Drosophila melanogaster: one gene and its partner. The protein of the gene in region 2 purifies or fractionates together with the protein of the main gene of each other region. This does not show direct contact. Each region holds a gene or a part of one and is shown on either strand. Other genes may lie near its edges.

The links.
Region 1: the proteins of CG3165 (region 2) and RPA2 purify together in Drosophila melanogaster (affinity purification with mass spectrometry, with the first as the bait; one large-scale study listed by BioGRID). This does not show direct contact.

What each region holds. Positions count from the first base shown.
Region 1 is NT_033779.5:20,924,159-20,927,794, forward strand, and holds RPA2 (replication protein A2), read right to left. Parts: upstream 1,990-3,636; 5' UTR 1,889-1,989; coding exon 1,876-1,888; intron 1,818-1,875; coding exon 1,756-1,817; intron 1,693-1,755; coding exon 1,106-1,692; intron 1,017-1,105; coding exon 938-1,016; 3' UTR 817-937; downstream 1-816. Other genes in the region: Nthl1 (Nth-like DNA glycosylase 1), read right to left, coding at 2,290-2,706, 2,763-2,933, 2,999-3,466, 3,531-3,636.
Region 2 is NT_033779.5:2,975,233-2,979,043, forward strand, and holds CG3165 (uncharacterized protein), read left to right. Parts: upstream 1-1,889; 5' UTR 1,890-2,009; coding exon 2,010-2,298; intron 2,299-2,354; coding exon 2,355-3,121; 3' UTR 3,122-3,268; downstream 3,269-3,811. Other genes in the region: CG9641 (uncharacterized protein), read right to left, coding at 1-1,553; CG9643 (uncharacterized protein), read right to left, coding at 3,314-3,811.

The DNA of each region.
Region 1 (3,636 bases), about 18 Mb from region 2:
CACATTGCAGCTGTGGACCGTGTCTATGGCACTGGACGTATTCCCGGCAAGGAGTTATACGCAGACGTGTACAAGCAGAAGCCGATAAAGATTACCCAAAAGGTCTTCGTGCCCGTTAATCAGTATCCCAAGGTGGTTTTTTATACAATTAGCTATCCACTCCGACCGCAAAATGAATCCTTACACTTGCGCAGTTCAACTTCACTGGCAAGATCCTGGGGACCAAGGGGAATGCTCTCTTGCGCTATAAATTCCCACAACAAATATTAATCTTAATTTTTGATTTGCATGCCTATTATGTTTTGATTTTGATTCCTGAGCTTGTAATTTTCTATGATAAATTCAAAAACTAATGAAATAAAACGCATTGAATGAATTTTATAAATTTTTTGCAATCCGATCTAACTATGCCCGATATACAATCAAAATATGCATTACCTAATTAAACAATTAACTTACTAGCGTTAAAAGTTAGTTAGTTATATATCTAAAAAATAAATTGATAATGAAATAAAGCGGTATGAACTTATCACATCCTTTTATCAAATGAAGCAAAGTGAAACGATTCAAAAAAACTTTATAATCCATTACAATTTTATAAATGAACAAGAATATTAATTAAACATAAAATAATTAAAATATTTCAGGTTTTCTATCTTTTTTGTAAGATATTTTAAATTCCCTTAGGACTATGAATCCGAAGACTTTTCATATGATAAGCCGTAAATATACACATACACCGGCAACTTGAAGAGCAAGATTTCCTCAAATACACATTTTCAACAGTCCCAATAAAAAATATCCCAAAATCACTTTCTGATTATATAAGAAATATTTAATGTACAACTAATATATGGAAAATGTTCCCGTTTTTCAAAAACTTAATACATATATTCAATACGCATTTTTAAATTAAATAGTGGTTACACGATTTGATTTACATTGTGCAAATAAAGTGATCTGCGTCAATGCTGGAATAAATGTGTCCCTCGGAAATCATAAAGTCCAGAATGTTGCTGTAAAAATAGGAACAATAAAATGTTATAATTAATATTAATTAATAAAGAATATCAAATGATGCAATAGTTTTGGATAAACAACTTACGTCAACTCAGAGTCGCTGATGTGGGAGAATTTGGCTTTCAGTTCCTTGCGGGAGATGCCCTCCTCGGAAACATTGCTCTTGATGGCCTGGAATACGGCCTGCTGCTTGGGCTCCAGCCCACTGACAATGGCCGAGCTCTGGGAGGCGGTGAAATCAGCTATGGAGCCTGAGCCGGAAGAAGCCCCTGCACCAGCTCCAGCTCCACCCTTGCTCTGGTAGTCCTCGGCCCTGTAGCGGGCATTGAGTACTTCCAGCAGGTGGGTGCACACCTCGTTGGGATCCAAAACGGGCAGTAGCTTGAAGATCATTAGGGTTTTGGAACCGCCTTGCGACCGGGTGGTGCCGTAGACCTTCACGTAGTTGTTGACCATTACTTCGGGTGCCTTGAGAGCGTCGCCCTCCTCAAGCCAGTAGTGCGCATCGATCCTGCCGCTATGATCCTCCAGGGTGTAGGTGATCTTCGTCGAGGAAGTCTCCACGTTCCGCACTATGGCCACAACACATGCCATGGCGTACTGCATGCCGAACAACTCGATGTTTCCCTCTGGGGCGTCCACAATCTGCTTCACCACCAGGGGCACTATTCCCTAGTTGCAATCATACGGAATCATGTTAGGTTGTGCAACTTTACTGGCGTCTCACTCACTTACTTCTCCCTTTTGATTGCTGGCGGCTCCAGTTGGCGCAGTTTGTGTGGCATTGAAATCTCCAACTAAAACGAGCTTCGTTATTAGTTCCCTTAATTTCTCTGAGCTACGGGCTATACTTACATGAATCATTCATTTTCTTGGCTTTTGAGGGATTTGTAATTGAGTATTCTATATAATTTCACAAGGGCCGCTGGTAAACAATAAAACGCGCGAACGTAGAGCTGATAGTGTGGCCGTAGGTCGAACACGTAGGAATAACATCTATTTAGTATATAAGAAATACGAAATATTGTAGTGTCAATATTTCAATATTTTTCCTGAAAAACTGAATTATTGTAATAAATTGGGAATATACCTTTTTCAGTTAAAACAAAAAAAGAAAAACCACAAAATTTTTTATTTTTTACAGGACTTACAGCCCCCTTAATAATTCATTTATTTTCTTATGGGTAACACAATATTTTTCTTAGCACTAATAATTTCAGAAACACTTAGAAACCTAAAACCTTTTTCAGCGTTCGCTGAACCTCTTTCCTATCGGTCTTTCTTCCTTTTTTCTTTAGTTTCAGCATGGGCTGAAGGACAAATGTCCTTGTTCAGGCACTCCCCACAATTTGGCTTCACTGGGGTGCAAATGGTTTGTCCGAATCCCACGAACAAATGATTGACCTCTGACCAGAGGCTGAATGGCAGCCACTTCTCCAACGCCACACGGGTTTGCTCGGGCTCCTTGGTGGGCTTCGGCACCCAGCCCAGCCTGTTAGAAAGGCGGTGGACGTGGACGTCCACTCCGATTCCGGTTATCTTGTTCCAGGCCACTGCCATGCATATATGGGCCATCTTGGGGCCAACTCCTGGAAGAGCTACAAGGTCCTTGACATTATCTGGAATGTCCGAACCATACTTGTCCGTCAGTATCTCCACGGTTTGCTTGAGGTATTTAGCTTTGTTCTGGAAGAGATCGAGAGTAAGTGCGATATATTTATTTATTATTAATTCCACCAAACCTTGTAGAAGGATACGGGATGCAGTAAATTCTCGAGTTCAGTCACTGGCATTTCCTTTACTTTCAGTGGAGTTAGACCTCGGTCTTTAAGGCGATTCATGGCTTCATAAGTAGTTTGGTCTTTGGTTTGACTGGACAGCATCAATGCCACTAAGTTTTGGAAGCGCTGGGTCTGCAAGGAAGTTGTTTGCTTGTAACATATTCTTCTATGTACTTAATTCCACTTATTGGAAATACCTTCGAGTCTGCTTTTAAATCGGCGCATCGGTGGCATCCCATGGTGTCCACTGGCGCAGTTCTGGAGTTTCTCATAATGCGAATGTTTTCTAGGTGGTTAAACCACAAAGGATGTGGTGCTTGCACCTCAGAAAAAGAAGGGGAATCCTCCGGAGCTTCCTGTTTTATTTGGGGTTCCACCTCCTCTCTTATCTTATCCACTCTCACTGGGGAGTCCACAGCATCAGGGACCACCTTGCATATGACCACAGTAGCCGAACCCATTTGAACTCTGGTTACCATGCGATCATCCTTTCTAAACTTTTTGGGTGCCACTCGAGCTGGAGACAAGGGCTCCATTTTAATGTTAGTTTTCTTCACGGCTTCCCCATTTAAGAGACGCTGCTTGCGGGTTTGCACGGGGGAGAAGAACACTGAGCTACTCGATCCTGCTGCGCCAGCAGATACACCAACCAGATCCTCTATATCCTGGAAGATTTAGAAACTGCGTCTTGAGTATCAATTTCATTGTTTATCATGCATTTCCGCCTACCCTCACGTTATCCGCCCTATTTGGACGACTTTTTATTTCCGTGGGTTTTATAAGATCTCCGCGTTTTGCCAACTTGTTGGCCAACGTTAATTTCTTTACATTTTTG
Region 2 (3,811 bases):
TGATGAGGCTCTTCGCACTCCTCGCCCTCCGCTTCAGGAGTGACCTCTACATCATTGCTCTTCTCGCCCGGCTCCTCTTCAATGAACTCCACATCATCGTGTTGCTCTTCAGCTGCCTCTTCCACCTCATCATGATCTTCAGTCATCTCATTCTCATTTTCATCATCATCATCTCCCTTCACTTCGTCCACAACGGTCAGATCAAGATGAGAAATGAACTCTTCGCCGTCCTCTTCGGTTAGGTCAATTTCAGATAACTCGGCGGTGGACCTAGCCTCTGAGCTGCGAACCGCCTTGAGGGCCTCCTTGCCACTTATCTCGCGGCAATTGAGCTGGTTAAAACGGTAGCTAAGGCAAAAGCCCTTCTTCTGCACCAGGTTGTAAGACTTACTGCCACAGCTTATTACTACCACCTTGCCATCCTTGGTCTGGCTTATACGGCCAAATTCCCAAGTCTTCGACAGAAGGTCGCTATTCTGGTCTTTTAAAAGTTGAAACGTGACCTTATCGGGCTCATCAGCTGAACGTGGTACTCTGACTGTGATTCCCTTTGTGGCCGGAATATCATCCTCCGGACAACAAATTAGTTTAGTTTCCGGTAACGCCGTGATCTTGGAAATCGCATGCTCCAGCCATTGGCGGGAGTTCTTGTCCATGCAGACAACTTGGATCATTCCAGTAAGAAATTGAATGCCCCCAAAATTGATGCTGGACTTCCAACCCTTTTTCAACTCCTCCACAAGGCCGGCTTCGATCTCATGCAATTGCTGATTAGTCAGCTCGCAATCCGGATAAGTTTCCGCCATTATTGCCATGGTAATACTATTCTGTTTCGAGGTCCATGACGGCTCTGGGACCCTCTGCTTCTTTACATCCTCATGGGCTCTACCGCCCGACGAGTTATCATCATTCGCACGCTTGCGAACGCGATCATCCGAAATCGGCTGCTCCGGACGCCTGCGTCCGCGGTCAGCCGAAACTGACTTGTCGTACCACTCAGAACGTACCGGACTGGTGCGTCTTTCCGAGGCCTTCATAAGGGCCTTTTCATTGCTGATGCCCGTGTCCAGATAGCGAAAGAACCACTTGCGCTTGGCGGGGCCAAGGAGCGATAGCTCCTTGCGAATGTGTTCCGGCAGTCCCCTTTCACCCGATGTCACCTGCATGGATGAGTTCGGAGTGGGCCAATGGCTCCCGTCGGAAGGGCCGCCGTTGCCGGGCCACGAGCGATTGATGGTGTTGCCTGGCTCAGCTTGATACGAGGGGTCGCGACGCATTTCGTTGTTCCAGTTGACTCTTTCGCGGCTCCAGTTAGAGTTGGCCTGCGGGGCAGCAGGGGATTGGTGGTAGTCAGAGGACATGGAGGGGAACGACCAGGAGGCAGAGCCGTTCAAAGTTTGACCCATTTGGGTCTGATTTGGGATCTGTGATTGGCCCAATTGGCCGAAAAAGCCGTCATAGCCGCGATAAGGGCCATAGTTGGCGGAACTATTGCCATTCATGGGAGCGCGGGCATTGAGCCATTCCCGTTCCTGGCGGTAGGTGGCCTCCATTTTCTAATTATTCTAGTTAGTTCTAATACTCACACAAAATGTTAACTGCACTTGTCGACGTTTGCTGCAAAAGTGAGGAATTAGGTGTAATTCATCCGCTGAGTTAGAGACAGCAAATCCTGGCCTGCTTTGCGTGACACGGGAGCCTAGTGTCAAATTTAAGTTTAGTATTGCCAGCGCGCTTTCTTGCCAATCATTTATTATAGTTGACTAGATTGGGCAATAATCTGGTATATTTTTCAACCGTCTTTTTTTTAAATTAACAATTCTGTTAGTGCACACACTGAGTTTATAAGTTTGTCACGATAGTTCACTGTGCCATCTCTATGTTTTCAAGGCAACAGTAGTGTTGGCAAATGTAATGAGAACTCCGTGTTGGTCCTCAAACATTTTGAATAAAACGAAATATATGTACATACTATGTACATGCACTTTTAGCCACCAGTTGCGCTCTTAATGGCTCCGAACGATGCAGTTGCGGAGCACGCGGAGGAGCAGCCAAAGATTTCCACATTTGCCGTTCTGGACCTAGAGACCACCAACTTGCCTGCCTACAGGAACAACCGAGTGAGCATTACGGAGTTGTGCATTTACGCCTTTGAAGCCGCGCTCCTTAAGAAGAAAAAGAAGGAGCAGGACCAGGATGAGCAGCAGGAGCTGCCAGCGGCACCGCGGGTGCTGCACAAATTGAATGTGCTCTTCCAGCCGTCCATGGTAGTGGACCCGGAAGCGGAGAGAATAACAGGTTAGCTGCAAAATGCACCCGTGAGTCATTCACATAATGATTTTATCACCCAATAGGTCTGAGCAACTACTTGCTGGAGCGGGAGTCCCAGCTAGACACGGATGCCGCGCAACTCATCGTCAGTTTTCTAAAGCACTTGCCGAGTCCGGTTTGCCTGGTGGCTCACAATGGTTGGGGCTTCGATTTTCCCATTCTGAGGCAGGCATTTGAGAAACTAAACATAGAGCTTCCCCAATCCCTGACTTGTGTTGACTCACTGCGCGCCTTCATGGAGATTGACGACACACAACAAAAAGAAACCAGTCAGTTGAAAGTACCCAACGATGTGCAGGAAATCATTCCGGAGCTGAAACCCAAACAGAATACTGAAACTTGCCTCAAGGAGCCAGAAGCGGTCGTGAACATCGATTGGCGAACCAGAAACGAAACCACTCCAAATCGTCCAATTTTAAAGCCTACAGAGGCATTCGCCAAGCGTAAGTTATTACGCGACGGCGATGAGGATGACTTGGAGGAGCAGACCCCTCCCAAGCGGAAACCCGATGAGTTTAGGTCACGACGCCAGCTGTTCAGTGGATGCAAGTGTGCCGAGAACAAACGCTATCCCCCCCGCGGAGTTTATAATTTGGAAAGTCTCTACACGAGAATATTTAAGATACCAGCACTTAGTGCTCACCAGGCAGAGGCTGATGTAGTCATGACCACAAAACTGATACAGCATTACGGCATTGATTTCCTGGCCTTCGCCGAGGAGCAGGCCATTCCATTCCAGCAAGTGGTGCCACTTGGCTCTCCTGTTTGTCGAAAAAAGAGCGCAATCTAACAAATTCTATTCCAGCATGAACTTCATTTTAAAATGTAATGGATTATTATATTTTTTATAATGTAGGATTTTAATAATTGATTTTTAATGTGTTATTATAAATATTTTTATAATAAGTATATTTGTATAAAAGTGTCCAGTCCAACCAGCTTTCCCGGAGAAAAAAGTTATTCACTTTGAGATACAACATGTTTATTCCTTTTTCCTTTTGAAAACAATTGAGGTTACCACATTGCCCACCTTGCCGCCAAACTTAAAGGTCGGCGTGGGAATGGTATAGTACTTGACAAACTTCTCGGCAAAGCTATCCACCAGCTCGTCCTCGGTCCAATTGCACGACGTGATTACAAACAGGCTGTCAGCAGTTCGCAGCAACTTTTCCACCGTGTCCAGGTAGAGAGCACGTTTCTCCTTGGCATTATCCGGACAAAGACTGACTGCATCGTAGGTTCCCTTGTCGTGCACCACGTCAAATTGGCCCAGCTCGTTCTGCGGCTGGGTTAAGTCCGCCACCTTGTATGTGATGCTCAGCTTGTTATCCTCCGCAATGTTTTGCGCCAGCTCGACGGCTTTGGGAGAGTAGTCCACGCCGGTCAGGTCTCCGGTGAAGCCTTCATTTGCCAGGCCCACTAGGAACATGCCATTGCCGCAGCCCAGGTCCAGCACTCGACTCGCCTCCTTGTCGATCTT